4 linked regions of the Drosophila melanogaster genome follow. The protein of the gene in region 1 interacts with the protein of each later gene in a pairwise test. Each region holds a gene or a part of one and is shown in the gene's direction. Other genes may lie near its edges.

The links.
Region 2: the proteins of CG14232 (region 1) and Pglym87 interact in a two-hybrid assay, tested with the Drosophila melanogaster proteins (one large-scale study listed by BioGRID).
Region 3: the proteins of CG14232 (region 1) and CG4955 interact in a two-hybrid assay, tested with the Drosophila melanogaster proteins (one large-scale study listed by BioGRID).
Region 4: the proteins of CG14232 (region 1) and CG33144 interact in a two-hybrid assay, tested with the Drosophila melanogaster proteins (one large-scale study listed by BioGRID).

Annotation. Positions count from the first base shown.
Region 1 is NC_004354.4:19,700,990-19,707,088, reverse strand, and holds CG14232 (uncharacterized protein), read left to right. Parts: upstream 1-2,829; 5' UTR 2,830-2,950; exon of another isoform or gene 2,951-3,026; 5' UTR 3,027-3,070; coding exon 3,071-3,200; intron 3,201-3,258; coding exon 3,259-3,686; intron 3,687-3,891; coding exon 3,892-4,356; intron 4,357-4,415; coding exon 4,416-4,835; 3' UTR 4,836-5,101; downstream 5,102-6,099. Other genes in the region: meso18E, read left to right, coding at 1-216; CG14230 (uncharacterized protein), read right to left, coding at 747-913, 976-2,083, 2,150-2,439, 2,501-2,678; Tcs4 (Threonyl-carbamoyl synthesis 4), read left to right, coding at 5,361-5,545, 5,601-6,099.
Region 2 is NT_033777.3:12,230,492-12,235,509, reverse strand, and holds Pglym87 (phosphoglyceromutase 87), read left to right. Parts: upstream 1-2,780; 5' UTR 2,781-2,832; coding exon 2,833-3,711; 3' UTR 3,712-3,865; downstream 3,866-5,018. Other genes in the region: Cyp313a2 (cytochrome P450 313a2), read left to right, coding at 1-203, 277-440; Cyp313a5 (cytochrome P450 313a5), read left to right, coding at 863-1,016, 1,073-1,273, 1,333-1,518, 1,569-1,641, 1,699-1,825, 1,880-2,441, 2,496-2,656.
Region 3 is NC_004354.4:17,079,189-17,084,983, forward strand, and holds CG4955 (uncharacterized protein), read left to right. Parts: upstream 1-2,258; 5' UTR 2,259-2,395; coding exon 2,396-3,462; intron 3,463-3,534; coding exon 3,535-4,021; 3' UTR 4,022-4,168; downstream 4,169-5,795. Other genes in the region: CG4949 (uncharacterized protein), read left to right, coding at 1-398; CG8945 (uncharacterized protein), read right to left, coding at 1,235-1,398, 1,492-1,681, 1,771-2,132, 4,278-4,792, 4,894-5,347.
Region 4 is NT_033778.4:10,794,966-10,801,222, reverse strand, and holds the start of CG33144 (uncharacterized protein), read left to right. Parts: upstream 1-2,513; 5' UTR 2,514-2,883; intron 2,884-6,257. Other genes in the region: wde (windei), read left to right, coding at 52-500.

The DNA of each region.
Region 1 (6,099 bases):
GCAGCGCCGCCAGCTACGCAGGAGCAGCCCACCAGTCCGGAACGCAACGGCATTGCGACAGGCAGGAGCGGCACCATTCCCGTCGCGAATCAGGATGCCGCCATTGAGGTGCCAGACGACGGCGATAGCGGTGACGATGTTCAGGTGAAGGACAAGCTGGCCAAGCTGACACCAAAGGCTGGCGGCGATGAACGGACGGATGGCAGGCAGACGTAGAATATAATGCATCCACTACTCGCTAGATCTACTTAAGACTTCTACCTACATACATATATATATATATAACCCTTCCCTACCGCCACTCCTCTCACCGGATGGCGGCAGAGGATACAGTGCCAAAGAAGAGCCATGTCTCGAATTTCAGTTGAGATTGCCATTTTTACTTAGAGAGCCTACACAAGTGCTTAGCGGACGAATGAAACTTAATTGCAATGTTGAATATTAAGCGCCGCAATTTTTGTTGAAGCGATAATCTTAATTCACTTAATTAGCTTTTAGTTAGGCGGAATCCCACCAGCGGATGCCGAATGAATCTCAACAGAGCCGGATTCACACCGCTACGATAATCTAGTTGGAGCTGCAACGGGGCTCAAATGCATTTGTGCAGTAACTAAAGCACAAACATTTCATTTTTTTTTTTTGTAATCTAGATGAATACATGTACCATTTACAAAAAAAAAAAAGAACAATATTGGTTTATTTTACACAGGATTATGCTTAAGACTAAGGGTATAATTTAACCTAGATCAGTTTTTTCCCTTTTTATTCCGCTGCAGCTTGATATCCTTGCTGGGCAGGCTCTTCTTCGCCTTGGCGATCTTTTTGGTGATCAGCAATTTCAGGCGGTTCTTCACTTGGTCATATTCGGCATGGTCAACCACCGCCTTCGTGGACTTGAAAAACTTGGCGCCCTCTGCAAAGAAAAGACGATCGCTTGTTGAGAATGAAAAAATACGCACAGATTCACGTTCTTACCCTTGAGACGAGGATCGTTTCTGGGTATGAAGAAGGACTCCAATTTGTTTTTGTTCCTCTTTTGACCCGACTTCTTCGCTGGCTGGGCCTTGTTCTCCTTGCTGACCTCAAGCTCCTGCTCCTGCTCCTGCTCTTGCTTCGGCTTTACTTCGGTTTCGTCTTCGCTGTCGGACGAGTCGTAGGAGAACGGATTGAGAGTGGCCAGTCCGAGCTTATTGGCAGACGTCTTGCCCACCAGGATCTTCTCATGGCCCAGCTTCTCCAACTGGTCCTGGCGCTTGGCCACCTCCTTCTCCGGTGCACTGCCGAACATGTCCAGCAGGCTGAAACCCTCTCCACGCGTGTTCAGCGAATCCCTCAACGTGTCGGTGACAATGTAAAAGGCCGTCTTCGAGACGGCTGAAGCTTGACTGTTGCCCGCGTCGGCGGTCTTGGCTTTCGTACTGGAAGTCTCCTCCTTCTTCTCCTCCTCCTCCTTGGGCTGCTTTTGGCGCATTAGCTTCTGATGGCCCTCCTTGGCCGGATCGAAGCGCAGCATCTTTTTGTTCTTTGGCGACTTACCGTCCTTATCGTTCGCACTGGTGATCGCGTGTCCCACAACCTGCTCCAGAATGTTCATGTGCCATTTGCGCTCACTCTCCTCCGGCTCAGGCTGATCCTCCAGCTCCGCCTCTTCCTCCTCGTTCACAAAGTTCGATGTGATGCGGAAGCGGGGATCTATACTCTGTTTGCTCTGCATCTCCACCAGACGCTCGCCCTTCTTGCCCTTATGCTGCGGCAGGACGATCTGCTCCTCTTCCTCATCGTCGTCGTTCTCGAACAGATCCCGCTTTTGTATCTTGGCTTTCTGGACGGGCTTGGACGCCTCCTCCTCCTCGGCGTCGCTGAATTTTATTCTCTTTGCCTGACTGCCTTCGACTGATATCACAGATAGCGCCTGCTGGATGGCTGACTTCTTTTGTTGGTGTCCCTGACGCATCTTGTTGAGCGACTCCTTGCGCTTCTGTTCCGCCTGGCTGACATTGGCGTCCGGCTTCTGTTTGGCTGCCTTGCGGTGCTGTTCGATGACATGGAGTGGCTTCACGTCGTGCTCCTGCTGGATGACAATCTGTGGGAAAGGAAAGGAAAGGAATTTAGCTGACAATGAGCTTGGGAACAATGAGTGCGTGCATACCCGGCCATTGTGCATGGAATTGGCGGCGCGCTTCTTGGTAATCAGCAGCTCTGGAGCGACCTCATCATCACCAATCTCCTCATCCTCTCCGAATACCCTGCGCTTGTTTTGGCCACTTTGCACCAGGAGCTGAGAGCTCGGCGCACGCACCTCGGACTCGTCTGGCTCGCCCTGTTCCCGGCGCTGGTTCTCTTCGCGTTCGCGCTTCAGTCGATCCAAAAACGATTCTTTGGCAAGAGAAACTCTTAGCTTTTCGCCGTGCAACTTCTGCCATTTGAGCTCGTTGACGCCTACAAAACCAAGCTATGGTTACTCCTTCCGTCTGGCTGTGATCTTCCGCGGATAACTTACAGTACTGGGCATCATCCGTCTGCACGGTGACGAAGGCAATCACCTTAGTGGCCCCATCCTGCTCCTTGCGCTTCAGATCCACGTGCTCTACGTGACCGTAGTCCTGGAACAGGATCTGCAGGTCCGACTCCGAGGTCCTGGTCGGCAGATCCGCCAGGAAGAACCGAGTGCTGCCCATATTATGTTTACGCTTGCAATGCACGTGTAGAATCCAAATCCCGGCAAGAATTGCTGTGGGCCAGTGTGACCGCGGGCAGATAAAAACTTACACTTAAATATAGCCACAATTCCAATTCCCAATTGCTTTATACAGGTTTTTAACAAGTCCAAGCAACACTAAACCAGCTTTCAAATTTATTTAGCAACTTTGTAAATAGGCAAATACATTAAGTTAGACAAAAATAATCCCCATCGGTCAGTGTTGCAAGGCGAGCAATACAATTACTTTAGGTGCGCAGCTGGCTGGTCACACTGGCAGCAGACGTCACAATAAATTCTATTATTTTGTTTTGTTTTGTGCGAAAAGTTTGCAGGCCAGCAATCGTGGACTAGCCCACAAACAACGGCAGCATGGCGAGCGGGACAAGCGGCACAAGCAGCAGTGAAACGGCCCAGTCGACGGACATGGCACCATCATCGGCCGAGAAGTGGGGCTTCCCTTTGATTGAGCTCTACCGCCTGGCATTCACGTTCTACAAGCGTAAGAGCAGAGATCCCGGCACTAGCGCACCAATAACGGCTAATCTCACATATTGCAGGGAACTCCGGCAAGGCCATCCACTTGTCGTACGAGGACAACCTCAAGCTGATCGCCTTCAAGCAGCAGGCGGCGCTGGGCCCCTTCAACACGAGTCGCGCCCCGGCGCTGGGCGTCCTGGACGTGATCGGACGCGACCGGCAGCAGCACTGGCAGCTGCTCGGTGAGATAACGCGCGAGCAGGCGATGGAGGGGTTCGTCGACCTGCTGGACACAATGTGCAGCGCCTTTCGGCCGTACATTGAGGCCGTGCGGCAGGACCGCGACGAGACGCTGCGCAAGGAGCTGCGCCTCATGGAGGAGAAGAAGGAGGCACGCGAGCGGCAGGAGAACGCCCAGCAGGAGCTGCTCGAGGAGGGTTACAAGGAGGAGCTGCAGCGCCGCCAGCTGCAGGACGCACTCAACAAGCAGACTTACCAGCAGTTTAAGGTAGCCCATCGATTTTTTCAACAACACACCGGCCCGGCCCTCTGCACCTGTTGTTGTGCTAAATAATGCATGATAATTACTGGGTGCTCGGCCTTGGCTGCGCTGTCTGCCATTGAAAAGGGGTCATGACCCAGTTCTCAGGCAATTGCATGCCAGCTCCTGTACCATTAACTTGGCCCTTCTAACGCTTACACTCGTTCCACAGCTGTACGCTGAGAAGCAGTTCCCCGGAAACCCCGAACAGCAGGCCGTGCTTATCCACCAGCTGCAGCGGGAGCACTATCACCAGTACATGCAACAGCTTCATCTGCAGAACCAGAACCAGAATCAGAATCAGAACACGGAGGACAAGGGACACCAGGAAGCAGAACACGTCCCTGGCAATAACAACAACAGCTCAACCGACTTGCCCAACGCCATGGAGGGACTGAAGCTCGGTGAGGTCGAGACACAGCAGCACCAGCAGCTGGCCGAGCAGCAAGACGGGCATGTAGAGCAGACGTTGGAGGGCGTTGGGCAGGAACAGCACGGCGAGGAAGAGTACGACGACTACGTTATGATCTGCCCGGCCAAGATCTGGACTCGTCCCGACATCGAGCAGTTTAAGACTGAGGTGTCCGCCGGCGATGGGGACGGCGTCATCACCATTGGACACGGCGACACGGTGACGGTAGGTGGCAATCAACTAATGACGAAACAAGGCCCATATTGACCGGCACAATTTTGCAGGTCCGTGTGCCCACCAACATGAACGGCAAGTGCATCTTCTGGGAGTTCGCCACGGACAGCTACGACATCGGCTTCGGCATCTACTTCGAGTGGGCCAAGCCCGTGACCAACGAGGTGACCGTGCATGTGAGCGACTCCGACGAGGACGAGGATTGCGTGGACGAGGACTACCTATCCACCACCGAGGACCTGGAGTCCGGCTCGCTGTCGCAGGAGCGCGGCGCAGTTAACAACCCGACTGCTGCCCCCAAGGCACCCATTTCCATTATCGTACCGATCTATCGACGGGAGTGCTACAACGAGGTCTACGTGGGCTCCCACTCCTATCCGGGCGAGGGCGTCTATTTGCTGAAGTTCGACAACAGCTACAGCATCTGGCGCAATAAGACGCTGTACTACCGCGTCTACTACGAGCGTTAAGAGGCCAAAATGTATTTACTTACCACTAACTTAGATGAATCCTATCTCCGTACGAACGGCTAATGTGCAAGTCCGGAATAATCTGTATGTGCGTGTGCGTGAGGTTTTGGTTTTACGTGTGCGTTGCTGCAATTCCGGGAAACAAGCGGCGGGAAAAGACCATGCCGATTTCAGACTAAACCAATATTATTTATTATTTAGTTGTAACCGACGAAGACAAGTCCAAAATTCAATTTGAAACTAATAAACAATATAAAGACAACTGTAAATAATCACTTTTCGAAATCTCTTTGCTTCTTAATGAAGAATAAATTATTCGTAAAATTCACTTAGGAAACTTCTTCATACGACACAATTGCTATTACCAATTTTGGGCATTGAAACAACTATTATTATTATTTTATATTAAATAAAAATTGCATTAAAGTATAGTTAAGAATTTGGCTCGTGTAAGGGGCCCTAACACTAACGGTCCCACGATTTGCTGGTTGTGGTTTCTATCGGTGCCTGGTCACACTGGCCATTATGCATGCACTTCGTAATTTTGCCGGCAATGGAATAGCAAATGTATTTGGCTGTGGGATCAGGCGCCGGCTCAGCTATGTCCTGGGCATCGAGACCTCCTGCGACGACACGGGCATCGCCATCGTGGACACCACGGGCCGAGTGATTGCCAATGTGCTGGAGTCGCAACAGGAGTTCCACACCCGGTGAGTGCTCACATCTCCGCATGCGGTGCCCAATGATGAACTGAATCGATTGCAGCTATGGAGGCATTATTCCGCCCAGGGCCCAGGACCTTCACCGCGCCCGCATCGAGTCCGCCTACCAGCGCTGCATGGAGGCGGCGCAATTGAAGCCGGACCAACTGACGGCCATCGCGGTGACCACGCGTCCCGGACTGCCGCTGAGTTTGCTGGTGGGCGTGCGCTTTGCACGGCACCTGGCCCGTCGCCTGCAGAAGCCCCTGCTGCCCGTTCACCACATGGAGGCGCACGCGCTGCAGGCCCGCATGGAACATCCGGAGCAGATCGGCTACCCCTTCCTCTGCTTGCTGGCCAGCGGCGGCCACTGTCAGTTGGTGGTGGCTAACGGCCCCGGTCGCCTTACGCTTCTTGGCCAAACACTGGATGATGCGCCCGGCGAGGCCTTTGACAAGATCGGTCGGCGACTACGCCTGCACATTCTGCCGGAGTACCGCTTGTGGAACGGAGGACGGGCCATTGAGCATGCCGCCCAGCTGGCCAGCGATCCGCTGGCCTAC
Region 2 (5,018 bases), on another chromosome or scaffold:
GGAGGACTTGCGGCTATCAAATGGAGTTGTCATCCCCAAGGGAATGACTATCAGCATAGACATATTTAACACTCAACGCAACACTGATTATTGGGGCTCAGAAGCAGCGCAGTTCAATCCCGAAAACTTTCTGCCGGAAAAAATCCACGACAGGCATCCATACGCCTTCATTCCATTTTCAAAGGGAAAGAGAAATTGCATAGGTCGGTTAGCCTTGGAAAATACTAAGTATAAGTATAAGTAAGGTTTTAATACAACATTTTTTATTTGTATCAGGCTGGCGATATGGACTGATGTCTTCGAAACTAGCTTTAGTCAAGATACTCAGAAACTACAAGCTAAAAACCAGCTTTCCCTACGAAAATCTGGAATTCGTTGACCACATGGTCATAAAGCTTGCTCAGTCACCACAACTGGCATTCGAACGACGAACTTTATAACATAACTTTCTTATTTTGAAAATTCTATTATATTGGCTTTAAGAATTCTTTTTATACAGCCATCACAAATAAAACGGTTTGGTAGTTTTGATTATGATTGTTTTTAAAACTTGTAAGTATTGATTTGTTTCACCCGAGATCTTCTTGGCCAAGATACTTAGAAACTACAAGACAAACACTACTTTTTTCAAAGCAAGCCTTACACCGGCAAGGCTTCAAAGCAATCTCAAAGTAAGTATATGAAAAATAGGAATTTATTTTTTATAAATGTGCAAAAGGTCAAAGTGGAATTGGCACATTTATGAAAGGGCGAGTTAAAAATATTCTAGAGCAATTAAATGCTATGCATGTTTCACCTATATAAAGCTCGTCCGAATTCCCAAATATTCATTCAAGACCGTTCACCCAAATCGCAGATTGAAATGCTTACGCTGCAAATTTTTGAGGCATTTGCAATCATTTTATGTGTATACTTTCTATGGAGTCGAAGAAGATTTTATATTATGATGCTAAAGTTACCAGGACCAATGGGCTTTCCGTTTATCGGACTTGCCTTTGAGTACATTCGCCTAAAACGTAAGTAATTATATTTTCGAATTTAATTAGGTAAAACTAAAAACGTTTTTACACAGGTAAGATACGCCTGCGTACCATTTTATTTAAAATATATGGAAAAACGGTATTGACTTGGATTGGCTTAACTCCCGTCCTGGTGACCTGTGAACCTAAGATCCTTGAGGACATTTTCACGTCTCCCAATTGCAGCAACAGGAGTTCTGTGGTGGACAAGGCCATTTCATCATGTTTAGGACTGGGCCTTCTGACCCTAAAGAGTAAGTGAAAAATTCTTATAATTTCTTGTTTCTTAATTGACAATCAATTGTAAGTATAGATAATCATTGGAATGAACGACGAAAACTTTTGTTACCATCGTTTAAGAATAATGCTGTTCTAAGTTTTGTGCCAGTTTTAAACAATGAAGCCAATTTCCTGGTGACCTTACTCGCGGAATTTGTCGATGGGGGAGATATAAACTTACTTCCAGAACTCAATAAATGGTCATTCAAAATAGCCGCTCGTAAGTAAATAGGTTGCTATATTCTTATTTTATTAACTCTATAATTTAAGAAATTACTATGGGTGATGAAGTGAGAAATCAAGCGAACTACCAGAACGGAAATCTTTTGGAAAGCTACAAGGCGTATGATTATTTCTATCTTATATTAGTAGATTTATTTATACTCTATTTATTTTATAGCCTTAACAACCTAATACCCATTGGTGTTGTAATGCCTTGGCTCAGGAACAAGTATCTTGGAAAGCTATTTAGCTATGAAAAACGACGACTAGAGGCCGCAACGCAGTCAAATGCATTCATCAAAGACGTACTTATAACTCAGAAGTCAGAGATTTCCTTCTAAACATATGCATATTTTCAGATAATAGACAAAAAGCTGAGTAGCACAGATAATAGCTCAGAACCGGCACTAATTGACCGCATTCTCAATCTTGTGAGAATCGGAGAACTTTCTTATGACGACGTAATGGGGGAATTTTCTAATATCATATTTGCCGCATCCGATACTTTATCTATAACAGTCAACAATGTGCTTATCCTGATGGCAATGTTTCCTAAATACCAGGATAATGTATTTGAGGAGCTAGCAGAGGTGTTTCCTTCAGGAGGAGAATTCGAAGCCAGTCATGCGGATCTGGAGAAATTAGTGAAGCTGGATCGAGTTTTGCATGAGACTATGCGTTTAATACCGGCCGTTCCATTACTGATAAGGCAAACTTCCCATTCTATTCAACTATCAAACGGATTTTATATTCCAGAAGGCGTAACCTTAATGATAGACATTTTTCACACTCATCGTAATAAGGATATCTGGGGACCACAGGCTAATGCATTTAATCCCGATAACTTTCTGCCTGAAAATAAGCGAGCAAGGCCACCTTATTCCTATTTACCTTTTTCGAAGGGGAAGAAAACATGCTTAGGTGGGTAACTTTCTTATAATTCCTTTACACTATTATAATATATTATGTACTTAGGTTGGAAACTCTCGCTGATATCTGCAAAGCTAGCTCTAGCTAAAATATTACGAAATTATATGCTGAGTACCACCTTTTTGTACAAGGACCTTAGGTTTATAGACAATACCACTATGAAGCTGGCTGAGCAACCATTACTAGCAGTGAAACGTAGAATATAATCATTAAAGAATATTTCCATACTGTTAGAATGCATGAAATAAAAACCTCAAAGTAACCTTATTTCAACGAACTTTTCTTACTGTCATAGGTTCAACCCGGCACTTTTAATAGAAAATCCATTCGAAATGAACACGATATAGACTGCAAACACTTTCCAAATTCAAAGTGTCCCAAAATGTTGGCTCTGGCCAGGAATTCGTGGTGTGGCCAATTGCTGTGTCGCGTGGCGAACATCGAAGCCCGCTGCCCGTTCTCGAAGTCATCATCCGGCGGAAAGCAGGCCGAGAAGAAGGGCAAGTACAGGATTGTGATGGTTCGTCATGGAGAGTCCGAATGGAATCAGAAGAACCTATTCTGCGGATGGTTCGATGCCAAGCTATCGGAGAAGGGGCAGCAGGAGGCCTGTGCCGCTGGCAAAGCGCTCAAAGATGCCAAAATTGAGTTCGATGTGGCCCACACCTCGGTGCTGACCAGAGCCCAGGAGACACTCAGGGCCGCCCTAAAGTCCAGCGAGCACAAGAAGATTCCGGTGTGCACCACGTGGCGCCTCAACGAGCGCCACTACGGCGGACTGACGGGACTGAATAAGGCCGAGACCGCCAAGAAGTTCGGCGAGGAGAAGGTTAAGATCTGGCGCCGCAGCTTTGACACCCCACCGCCGCCAATGGAGAAGGATCACGAGTACTACGCCTGCATTGTTGAGGATCCGCGCTACAAGGACCAACTGAAGCCGGAGGAGTTCCCCAAATCCGAGTCCCTCAAGCTCACCATCGAGCGCACCTTGCCCTACTGGAACGAGGTCATAGTGCCCCAGATCAAGGATGGAATGCGTGTCCTGATCGCCGCCCACGGCAACAGCCTGCGGGGCGTGGTCAAGCACTTGGAATGCATCTCTGACAAGGACATTATGAGCCTCAACCTGCCCACTGGCATTCCTTTCGTCTACGAACTAGACGAGAGCCTCAAGCCTTTGGCCACGTTGAAGTTCCTCGGCGATCCGGAGACGGTGAAGAAGGCAATGGAGTCGGTGGCCAACCAGGGCAAAGCCAAGTGATCCGTGATTTTGGGTATACCCAGCAGCCTCCGAAGAAGGTCAGAGCAATCAGCTCAATGCACTTGTATGCCAAACAAAAGCGGCGAATCGAAAGTGGTGCTCACTGTGGCCAGGCGAATGTCAAGAAGCAAATAAATTTATTTGATTTTAATTGACAATGAAGAGTCAACAACGATGGGCTGGCTGGCCGTTGGTCTCTTGGTCTTGGTCTTGGTCTTGGTCTCTGGAACTCAGGCGACGGTTCTGGGTCCCAGGGTCTGGGTCTGGATGTGGGTCTGGGTCTGGGTCTGAGCCAAAGTCCAGCCGTATTTATATGTGTTTCCATTGCGCTCGTTTAAGAAATCAGGGAATCGAGTGTGTCGCGTCAATTTTAATTGCTGCGGGATGAGTCTGAGCAGCCTCTGGCATTCCGAACGGGTCGAATTTTAATTTGTTTAAATGAAATACTCATTTAGGGCTTATTGACAAACAAATTGAATTGATTGATCTAAATGAATTTATATGCTGAGCGCGGTGCCCAGCGAGACTCAGATTCCCTCCGAATGAGATGCGTTGAGATGGATAGGTAGGTGGTTGGAGTTTTGGTGTTTAGGTTTAGTCTTCTGAGCATTTGACCCGTTGCTAGCCGTCTACCATATGGGAGTTAATTTGGGGCCAGATTTTCCATGTTAGGCTCGCCGAGCGTGGCGAGCTTTGATCCAGTAAATTGAGAGCGTGAAACGAGCTAGGAGACGGGCACTCTGCTGGCAAACTTGGGTCCTCTGCAGGATCATCCTTCCATGAGGGCTGTGCGAACTACAATATCTTGCTGACTAGTGTGGCGCGAAGAGGCTGAGCTCCACATTATTTGAACCTAATTACACAGACGCAGTGGAGCCCAGACCGAAGTTAAAGTTAAAGTCAAAGTCGGCGCCCCGTCAAATTGGTATACCAATTGCAGCATAGAAACGGCGGGAACATAAAAATGTTTGCACTTCGTTTTTGTCGCGCATAAAATCTAATATCGAATTACAAGGCCCGGTCTTTGGAGAGGAGTCCAGAGTTCGCAGAACAGTGTGCGTGTCAGCGAAACTTTGTGGCAGGCTCCGTCGACCAAGCGCTCCGGCTCCACATCCCCACGTCTCCACATCCTCAAGCTCGCATCCACATCCCGCTGCCATAAAGAAACTGAATTGAGTTAAATGCGCGATAAATTGCTTTTTGCATTTATCATGGTCGCCCTGGCAGGCGGCAGCCCAAGTTTTCGCTGGAGTCGGGCCAAGCCTAGACCACGAAGATGGCAAGGCGACTCTGTGGACGCCACACCC
Region 3 (5,795 bases), 2.6 Mb from region 1:
AACTGGTGGATGTGGAGAGCACCCCGCTTCGCATGCTGGAAATGCAGGATAGCGCCGAATCCTTGCGCAGTCCCGATTTGATAGTCTTTGATCTGCAGTCGCTCGTTTTGGATGCACTACTGCGTCCTGTGATGCAGCAGTGCTCCACGAACAAAATGGTCCGGCAAATTGCCAAGTGCTCCGCATCCTTTGTGAATTACCGCGAAATCCTGGCCAATCTGGCGGAACAGAAGGCGGGCAAAAGCATCGACACCATTGTGGTCATGTCGCAGGAACCGTATCCCATGTCAGCAGCCCAGTTCAAGCTGCTTATTGGACTCTATTTCCACGGCAACGAGTGCCACACGAATTTTGCCAAGCTCTCGGCCAAGATCATGGTCTCCCAGAGATTCGCCTAGACGAAGGACAGAAGTTTGGAGCCACTACAGTGCCTTGGTAACCAGTTCCTGAGTTTAATCATAGCTGGCAGTATTGTAGTTATTCGCCGTATGCTCTTGCTTTTCAAACAATACTTACTTAGAACGTTTACCTTATGCATTATTAAAACATGCATTTTGTCAGGTTAGACGAATATTTTCAAAGCTGGAACGAATTTTCCAATCTCGAACGAATTTCGAGTTATTAAGACTGCATTTCCATTTTATTGACTTAAAGCTATTCATATTGCCTTCCCAAAAGATATCCAAATGGGGAACGGTCGAATATTTAAGAAAATGAATTTATAAAAGGCAAGGCACGCTATATTATATCCGCATATAATACTAAGACAGTGCGTACATTTGGCAAGAACTTAAGAAATACTGTACGTTGAAAATATCTCCCTACATGGCATCCATGCAAAATGTTATACGAAAGCGAAGCAATCGAATGCTCGATCAAATATAAGACTTTATTATAGTATACTATTTAGTCTAAAAGGGATTAAAACTACCAAAAAAAAATTGCTGATAATTAATTATAATATACATACATATAACAATAATATTTATTATGCTAAACGGAAATCTCAACTTAAGGGAATTTATATGAAATAAAAAAAAAATTTCGAATGCATAAGATACGTAAATGCAGCTAAAAGTATTGGAGAATGTATTCCGGAAATACGGCTAGTGATCTCCGGAACGCAAGCCACCAAAGCCCGTTTAAAAGGAACTAAAACTCATTCACATGTAGCCCCACCCCAAATCCCTGCTGCCTTCGTCTTCGATTGGAATCCGATCTCCGCATCCCAGCCTCATATGTAGTCCAGCATGCCGCTTATGATCTCAAAGGCATCCCGAGCCGTGGGCTCAATGGCGCTGCTGGGCAGCAGATAACCGTGCACTCCGTTGTCCGCCAGCTGGAGCGTGTAGCTGAAGGGAATTCCGATCTCGTAGGCGGCAAAAGCGTCCGCACAGCCTGGATAAATCAAGGAAGCCAAAGGATTGGCAAGGTCGGATAAAGATCTCTATTATATTCTACTTCGAAGCAAATAATATAAATATTACGCACCCGATCGCTGTTCAATTAGATCGTTGGATGCGTCGACCTTATATCGGGACTTACTACCCTTTTTGCGCAATCCATCGGTACCCACCATCGCCACGTCCAGAAAATCATCCAATCTTTCTGAATTGAAAGTGGAATTGGCCTTGACCGGATAGGATATCACCTGACCATAGGCCTGTAGGGAAATGTAAAGCTGCAAAAATAATGAATAAAGTTAATAAATCAAAAAATATATCTATTTTAGAGAGTTAATATAAAAATTATATATTGTTCTAAGCATACCTTTATCTGCGTCCTATAGTCCATAAGGAACTCAGATACTGCCTTGGTTTCCGGTTCAGAAAATGGCGCTGGACCGGCGTAGAACTCATTGCAGGGTGCCTTGGAGCTACCCCGTTTGCCCCAATGATACAGCCAGTTTCTGTCCAGGTCCACCCCGTAGCAGACCTTATCCGGACCCCGTTTTTGCTGGAGCCATGTCATCGCCGAGTCGAGGAGGCCACTGGGAGGTGGAGTCTGGTGCTGAGATCGCGACTTCTTCCAGAAACGATCGTACTCGTGGCTGTACGCATATCCGTCCGGATTCAGGACCGGCATTATGTACCATGTGGTGTTCCGGATGAACTCCACGTCCTCGTTGCTTTCTGTTGAGTAAACGTTTTATGGGTTATTTTTATACATAACTTTACATAATGCATATGAAATAAATGTTAATAAATATTAATTCTCTTAAGAAAATAAATACGTTGTTCAACCGATCAACGTAGCCGCTTTTCCCCAACTCAAATTACATTAGTTATCCCTTTGTCAGTCCGTTAGTCAGTATATTTGTAGACCCAGAAATCGATAGTGTATACTTTAGACCTTTACAGCTTGCCACTTCTCCTCCAGTTGGACCAAGATCAGAATGGAGAGGCGAAGACCCCGAAAGTCCTCGCGTAAATACGTGTGCTCCAAATCAAACTCTTCAGTTGGAGGAGGAGTAGAGGAAGACAGTGGCTCATCATTGCCTGCCACCGCCAAAGCGTTACTCCTCCAGCCGGACGGTAATAAAGCACCAACCATGACATCCCTTCTGGGCGAACGACTCAGAAGAGTTTCTCGCATCGCAAGAGCTCCGCACAGCCTACAAGTTACCGAAAATCCAGAAGAAGGTGGAGCACCAATCGTACCACTAAGAGAATCCGGCGCATCGGAAGTGTCAGAAGTAAATCCGGGGGTTATGGTCATTCCGGAGTCGGCCAGTCCCCGGGGATCGGCGGTGCATGGACAACACGCTAGCTTGGTCTTCAGTGCTGAAGCCAGGGATTCGGACAGTACGCGGATATCGGAGGAAATGGTGGAAGTGTTCCAAACCTCTTCGGCGAGAACCACATCCAATGAGCCCGCAGGGGGCAATCTGCGCTTTGAAACCACTCCCGTGGCTGTAAGCGAAAGTATGGTTGGCAATATAAACTTCTCCCCGAACGCCATCTACGATCAGAACAGGTATAGCAGCATGATGTCCAACGGGGATTACAATAATGGCAACAGGGGTGAGAGTGAGAGGAGCGTGGGAGCCTGCCACCATGGTTGGGCGGCGCGACAACAACAAGTTGCCGCTGGACCTGCCGGCAGAGACACCCTGGGATTCGCCATCAGTCTGGGCGCCGCTAATTTGGGCCAGAACCGATGCAGTCTGGGCGTTGCATGCGATGAGGACTGTGGCTATGGAACTGGCTGTGATTTTGGATGCGGTCAGGCCCATGGCGTTGATCCCGGAAGCTTTCTAGGTCCGGGAACCATGGGAACTGGTCCATTAATATTGACAACGGGATCAGGAGGCCCACCTGTACAGAGCGCCCTACGAGGAGCTCAAGGTGGCGGCTATAAGCAAGTTGGCGCCGGGCAGCGGGGAACTTTTGGAACAGATTTCGGAAGTGAGCAGCTTAACTTCTTCATTACCTTCCTATTGGAGGTCCTCGGTGTTTTAGTGTGAGTATATATTTATATATTCCAGGATTGGATCATTCCAACTCTATGATAATCTACGTAATCTTCCATTAGTTTTTTTGCCATCTGCACGATAACATTTTGGATTACTCTGGGCTACCATGTTGTCCAGTTGCTGGTGGACCTGAAGAACGCCGATCGCAACATTCAGGTGGCGGTGGCCATTGTGTTCGGGCTGCTGCTCGTTGCGTTTGCCATATCGCAGGTGACCAACCTCAGTGGTTCCTGCTGTCATTCACGGGATCGAGCCCGTTCCAGAACCAAAGGTGGTGGCATTGGCTTCTTTCACAGATCCACCAAGCCAAAGACCAAGAGCTGTGCATCCAAAACCAAGACCTGTGCTCATAAGCCGAAGATTAAGAAGGCAGCCACTTGTGGACCCAGCCTGGGCTTTCACACGCACCGCAAAACGAGGTATACGGATTGCGAGGGACGGGCAATTTTCTTGAGCTCGAGACGATATGCTATTCCGACTGAGATGAAACAACCACCCACCATTGTGCTCTGGATGCGCGACACACTGGTTCGCATGTTGCAGTAACCACCAACGAAGCCCCACGTTGGGCGCCAATAATACTTAAACTGACTTAAGACTGCGAAACTATACGTATTGCCTGGAAACACGAACCATTCGATCATTTGCAAAAATTTCAATTTGAATAAACTTTAAGAGAAAACTTTTGTAGGTATTACTAAATTGTTACTTATGATCTGGGCCAGTATTATTAATATCGTGAAATAGATGTTTAAGAATACGAACATACTAGTTCGGTAATAGTATATGTGTATATACTCACTGTTTGTTTTCATTAGTCGCAGCAGTTCGGCAATCATCCAGGTGGCCGCCGCGGGTCCAATCCAGGCCAATCCCTGAGCACCAGCTTCGACGAAAACGGCATTTGCCTGGCCCGACTTCCGCTTCCGCTTGGGTCGCTTGATGGTGTGTAGACCATCGTTGTTCGCCGCCGCCGCCGTCTGTTTGGATTCGATCTTTACCACAATTAAGGGTCGACCTTCGAAGGAACGACCAATGTGGATGAGCTCAACGAGCTGCGGATGACGCATTCGCACCGTCTCCAGATACTTGACGATCTCATCGTGATTATGGTAACGATTCCATGTCATGGGCGGTGGTGCCGTGGGACGCGGCTTCGAGGGACGAGTGGTTTGTAGGTAATCCTCTTTGGTCAGTTCGTATGCGATGGCCTTGCCCACATCGAAAATGAGCACTTCGTGCGCTATGCCCTCGTAGTTTAGAGTGCCCTGAAAGTCCACGAGCATCTTGGGTGGCACAAGAACATCCGTAAGACCTCTGAAACGATGAGGTGAGTGAGAAGATTTGGTTTAAAATGTATTGTAATAATCCCCAAATTGATTGTCATCATACATTTTTGAGCTTTAAGTCTAGCTTACCTGAGACTTGGACCCTTGAGCCATTGCAACTTAACGCCGTCCTCGCCCTTTTTGAACTCCTCCAGTGCACGGACCTGCTCTTCATCCTGCGGCTTTAGACGCCAAATCTGATACTTGTCATAGCTTATGCGCCTGGGAACGTCCGGCCGCGATGTGGTGGTTGTGGTGCTAGTGGTTCCCCTGGTGGTCATTCGAGTGGCCAAGGCCTGGAGGAGCGGATTACTTGTGCTCGTAGAGATGGCACTGCCAGTGGAATTGACAATATGATGGGCCAAAATGCCAATCCAGTTTTGTGGATTCCTCAGTGGATCCACAATGGTCAGGATGGGCACCTGGGCCGCCGCCGCCGATGGTGTGTGCGTCGTTGTTGTCGTCGAGGTGGTCGATGTGGAGGTAGTGGAACGACGTCTAAACTTACGTTTTGGCCGCGAATCGAACCAGCTGGAAAACCATTCTGTTCGTGGAGAAAATAAGTCATATATTGTGCTTGGGCTGTTTGTCTTTGGTTATATTTCCTAGCGGTGCAGAAAGCGTGAAGGAAAACGAGAACCCATTTGGGAGACCCACACCGTTAGCCATTCAATTAGGTTCTGGGTTTTCCCTTTTATCTTCCTGCTCATTCAGCCAATCTCGCCATTAAATGAACCACTCGAATAACAAGAACATAGCATGGCTCGCTTTTAATTGCACGGTAATTAGATTGAAAACAACAATGTTAGAAAATCCAAACATATAAATTAATGAATTGTCTAATCATCGTTACTATAATTCCTAAAATAAATATCAAATCAACCATGAAGTTGTTTTAACTGCCTTTATATATGCATGACTATTATTTTGGGCATAGTTTAATACTACCTAACATCCTTGCAATCTGTAAGCATTGGCCTTAAACATTGAAC
Region 4 (6,257 bases), on another chromosome or scaffold:
AATCATTATATTCAAAATATTCGGCGTACTTATTTTCAAACGTATTCAAAGGTCAGCAAAGTCCCTTGGGCTCAAACGTAACTATGCAGATACGTTCGGAAAACACCCCGCCTCCAGCGTCTCGTCTAAGATACTCACATCCTGCACCACTGCCCACGTCTCCTCCCCAGCCCTTCAATCCATCCTGGAAGGTGCCTCCTTCGCGACCCGTTATCCGGATTAGTCTCCTTGATACTGGTATCGTTATATCCTGGACTCTGGAGGATTCGAGCCCGCGGTTCGCAGAGTGCGTAATGTACCAGATCTATGCATACCAGGAGACGATTAACGAGCCCAGCACGGATAGCTGGCGGCATGTGGGCGATGTCAGCGCTATGTTGCTGCCAATGGCAGTGACTTTAAATCAGTTCCAGGAGAACCAGAGGTATTACTTCGCTGTGCGGGGCGTTGATAGTCACGAACGATTCGGGCCGTTCAGTGTTCCCAAGACCTGGTCGTAGACGGATTGGTCTGTTCTCTTCCTTAGATTCTAGTTTTAGTAGAAGATATGTAATTTACTTTTGTCCTTGGTAATCCGTTCTCGAAACTAGCCGGAATTATGAGTTTATACGCCTAAGTTATAAAGAGATTATTGAAGAATTTTTAAGAAGTAATAAACAAGTTATGCCAAGCAGTCAATCCACTGCAGTCAGTAAAGAAGAAACAAACAAAACATTGTATTTCATTCTCACTAGGTTATTTAACATAAATAAGTTCAAAACTTACATTAAATAATAATTTGAATAAATATCAAATGAGAAGAGCGTTTTATCTTGTATTCAATTTTGTGTGTGGACCCTTATTATTTATATGACTAATATGACTTATTAATTACTATTATGAAACAGTTGATTTATTTTATTTAAAGCCGATGAACGGAATTAGTTTTAGTAAAAGTTCATCATCCTTGAGTAGTTTGTTGAACTAATGAATTCGCAGACTAATTTGGATGGATATCGATTAATGTAAATTCGTCTACAATAAGTAGTAACAATTATAATACGGTACAAAAACAATTATAACCACAGAATCTATTTCCTATCTAATTAACAAGTTAATTGACGAAGCACCTGATGTTTGATATTGGCAAATATTGAGCATATAGTCACTAATTGGTGATCAAGTGAAATGGGCCTGAGGTATAAGTCGTGCACATAAAATATAGATAAACTCCCATTTAGGTGAGTGTGCCAACCAATTTGGAGGTCACAACAACGACCGTCCTAATGCTCGATGATGAGGTACAGTCGAGCCTGTGTATGTCAAACTTAAGCCGTATATGAAAATAGGATTTATGTGTTATTATAAACGAGTCTTCATAAGCCAGTCCATATCGAAGAGTTCAATATTGATGAAAGCCCAATGTCAATTTATAGAAGCTCCACTGTAGCTGCTGTGGGCACTGAGGAAGGGGAACTGACAGTGGGGCAGATGGCGGCCTGTAATATACTCCTGCCTCCATATCCTTGTGCCGCGTGCACTTGACATTGGCTTTCGAATCGGGTCTGTCGCGGCATTCATGCGCGGCGCACTGGCAGGGGGTTGGGGGTTCCGGGGGCGGAAGGTGCAGCTTTGCCCTGGTAATGGCATAATCGACCCCCTTTCTGGCCCCTTTTCGTTGCGGGGGCTGGCCACGTGCCGTTCTCATTCGGCCGTTTCTGGTTTTCCTGTTTTTCCTGCTGCTGCTGCACTTGCAACAGCAGCCAAAAAACCTTGACATTAAGCAGCGTCGTCGACGAGGCACAAAATCCTGCAATTGTGTGGAAATCGTCCTGCAAAAAAGGCGCTGTACTTGAGCTGTCCAAGCCACATATTTGTGCTTCGAAAAAACCGGGTTCCTTTAAATTGACATTATTACCAATTTTTGATTATTTTCACAGGCATAAAGCCAATATTAAAAATAAAAATCATTGCAATAACCCACTTCTAAACTTCAATACCAATATAGTTGGCTAGAAGAAATTACCTGTCTATATTATTACACATATTGATATATGTATATTTCAGATATATTTCTGATGAATACGACCATCTTAGACAATAGCAATTCGTTAAATATTTGATATCTATATCTTGTTCCTATGACAACTCAGATTAATTACTGGACGTATACGTTCATACTTATGCATATGTAAAGTTCGCAATAATCAATCAAAATGTGCTCCTAAATCGTTTGTGCGCCATCAATTAGTCGGCAGTTATTTTCGGTGACCCCGACATACGAGTGAGTGTAATTGAAATACATGGATGTTCGGTTGCCACAATTGCAATTGAATGCTACAGTTGTTGCTGTTGCCCTGACAAAAGCATAATAACAAAAACACAGATGTTCCGTCAGCAGGTTGCATTTCGAAGAGAGCAGCGGGAGAGGGAAACTCTCTCTTCTCGCGTCGTGCGCAGTGCGCAGGACGTGCAGCACGGCAACACTGGCCATGGAAGTGCGACAAATGTGTGCGGTGGAAGTCCGTTTGTTTATTCGCTTGCGGAACGCGTTTCTCGACGGTTGGTTCGGTCGCAAAGCGGAAGTGCTGGCGCAACGTGCAACATCCGGCGGCAAAGCAGCAAAATGCCAACACAATAAAATCAAAAAGGAACCTGTAAACACACACCTCCAAAGATATATAGTTAAATCATAAAAAAAAATTTACAAAATTATAAATATATAAAAAGTATAGCCGAAATTAGTGTGCGCTTGTTGATCAAATCAAGAATTAAAATAGTATATTGAAAATAATCAAAAATTGTCAAGTGCTTTTCGAAAGTATAAATATCTTAATTAAAACCGTGTTAGACCCCCATTTCGAAATCGATTACAAAGGGTCGAAAAGTTTGTGAAACCGATTCGTAAGTGCCCAAAGAAGTAAAACCCCCTCCGCCAACCTTTCACCTTTCTTTGTGTGCCACATTCTCCTTATGTGTGCCGGTGTGAGTGTTTATGTATGTTAATTAAATTACCGTTATGTGTGCTTACCACAGCAACACACTTACACACAAAAACCAGCTCTATCGCAGTAATTATAAAAAAAACAAAAGAAAAACAAGAATAATACAAAAAACAACAATTACAAAGGCCACTGAAAATCCATTTCCCATTTCCTTGGGCTCCCCCCCCCCGCATTTCCTCTCTACTTTCCCCACTCATCATCGCATGTTTTGCCCGCCCTGACACTTGGGGCATATTTCTGTGTTAACTGGGCTGTGCGTGTGTTTATTACTGCGACTACGGCCATTGGCACGTACATCGGACGGAGTACCCTCAATTCGACGCCCATGTCCTTGCCATGTGCCCTCCTCATACACGCCCCTGCTGGGCACTACTCACAGTTATTAAGCGTCTTATGGCAACTCTCAAAGCGGCCCATAAGTATGCTATAGTTTTTGCTATTCTGCTGAAGAGTTAACTCAGGAATACTTGGAGAAAATTGTAGTACATGAATACATTACATGATAAATATATAAAATAAAATATTTTCATAATCTTTTAAATGGGCAACAACAATAAATTCGCATAAAATAAACCACTATGAATTGTAATGTTCAAAATTTCTGTTGTACTGCAATAAAAAAGAGATTTTAGGTTTTAATGTATGGGCAACTTAATTCGGTACTGGCATTAACCTATCAAAGAGTGTGACGTTTCTCTTCGTGTAGGAGCAGCAGGTGCATTTCACTCAGAATTTCAGGTGATAGCAGTGAGCTTCTGACCAGAAATCAATAGAAAATCAAGCTTTACGCTTATGGATCTAGTTGGGGGTTAGTCAGTCGCCTGCTGCAGCCATATACATACGTCGTTATTGCCCTTTGTTACATTTACCATTTGAGCCACTTTTATGTTCGGCCCTTTGCACATCAAATTGATGATAAATTGCAAATTGCGACCATAAAATCCCCAGAGAGTTATTGAAAAATTTCAGCGAAGAGGTCGTAAGGAACCGATGAAAAGGTATAGCATTTCATATTTATGGTATTTCCTGCCAGCATTTCATTTCAATATTAGGAAAGCAATAGGTATAAAAATGCTCGTGTAGATTAATAAATGTTTTGGAGAAAACCTACCTTGAATGCGAGTACTTTTTTAATTGGCATTAATATTATAAAATACATATTTATTCAAAAGAAATTTATTTTTTCTTTGAGCTAAAGAATCGATCAGTGTGACAACTTATTTTACAAGTTGTTTAAGCTTATTAGTTAAGAAAACCCAATTTTATAGTTTGACAAATGACATTGGCCACCAAATTGCGATTTGCTGTACAGTTTTCCAGCCAGTTTCTTGCACTTTCAAATGTTTGATCTATGCAATCCATCGTTGCAGGGCAAGTTAGACTGAAAGCTTTTTGGAGTCATTATCCCGTATTTCAATTAAGGGCGAAAAAAATTCGCGCTCCACACATAGAACACCAAATTGTACGCTGGCGATGGTCTGGCTCAATTAAACGACAGCGAGTCCTTCGCTGGTCGGAGTTGAGAGGACGAATTCAGAGGATTTCCCGGTATAAGGGATACGGGTGGTGACATCTTCAAATGGCACATGCCCGTATGCAAATTGCGCCATAATCTCCACTGAGCGTTGGGCATTGAGTCGTCGCCTATTGATTATCAGTTTTGCATACTAATATGCCCAAGTTGGCAGTGCATTGAAATCGAGCCAAATAAAGTGACAAGCTCCGTGTCCCACTGTTTGTTTCTGCCCGTCCCTGTCGCTCCTATCGCCTCTTTCGTCCCTTTCGCACGTTTGCCATGGCAGCTGTCAGGGGGGGGGGGGGGTTCCCCTCGCTTGAATGTGTGCGATGTGTCCGGGCTTAAGTAGCTTTATGTGTCTGGATGTGTGAGTTTTGTGTGGTTATAACATTTTTTTTTGTTTTTCGCTTTTCTCGGTTTTCGATTTTCACCACGGTATTTCCACGAAAAGTTGTTTTTCCTTTCGATTCTGCTTTTTTGCTGGCATTTTTTGCTTAACCTTATCGAGTGAACTACAAAAACGAAGAAAAATAGTAACTACAAAATATTTAGATACAGTATAGGTGGTCATTTCTTCATATAGAAAATAGGGCTATTTTACATCTATCTGAACTTGAGTTTAAAGGATATTTTTCGAAAAAAAAAGCTATTTAAAGTTTCTTTCCCCTTACTTAATGTTTGTTGAGAAGTGTCGTCAACGGTGCCATTGTTTTATTATCACTCCGTAGTTCCCTTTTTTTTAGGTGGGTTCTATCACATTACGTATACGCATTTAGTTCCAATTTTTGCCTCTCGTTCCGTGGGCTTCGCTTTATTTTTATCGCCTTGCGTGTGTAAGCGAGTTTTGCTTGTGCCTTAGTGTGTTACTGTGTTTGCATTGCCAGTGGCGGCCTTTTTTTTGCTTCCGCTTTTCCTCGACTGTTTTCCACTTGCTTGTGTATTTCCGCTGTAGTCATAATGGGAAACAGCTGATAGTACACGCCCCCTCACATCGTCCCCTAATCGAGCCCTTTTCTCCAGGGACACAAACAGAGGGCGGAGCGGCCATAAAAGAGTTCTGTTAATGGGCGTGTTTTTTGGGTCTTCCATAGTACATCTGCTGTTTATATGGGGCCCGTTCTTGTTGCGAAGTGCTGGAACATTGATTTAAGTTGTGCTTTTGAAACACCAAAACTCATCCCAGGACTTAGACCTCAAACCCAAACCAAGATTTCGGACACCTGCCACAAGCAATGCTGCAATGTAACACATGTTATAAAACATGTTCATCTCGGACAGTTTTCGAAATTTGATATTTTCAAAACTGGACATGGGCAAAAAAACCAATTGGTGGGCAAACTTCTTGCTTCAAATTCCAAATATTATATATGTATATATACTTATATTTTTCCGAACCCAGCTTCTTTAAGCTGGACAATCCGGCCTAAACAATCAATCAACTCACAATCCATAACATTTTGCGCGAAACATAAAACAACACACAATGATTTCGATGAGCAGACTTTGGGCAGCTGTCAGTTGGCATTAAAAGTTGTTTGGATGGCGTATTATAATTGCATTTGGTCATTTTTATTTGGAAAATTGGAGTTCCAACGGGAAGAGGGAGACCGGCAGAGGCAGAAGTAAGTGATTTATGGTGGGAAGAACGCATGGCACACAGAGCGTATGATAAATGTCTGCAACGAGCTAAATTTGTTAGGGATGGAAATGAAATTACAGAAGTGCTCAAAGCAAACTCAAAAGGAAACAAAAACAGG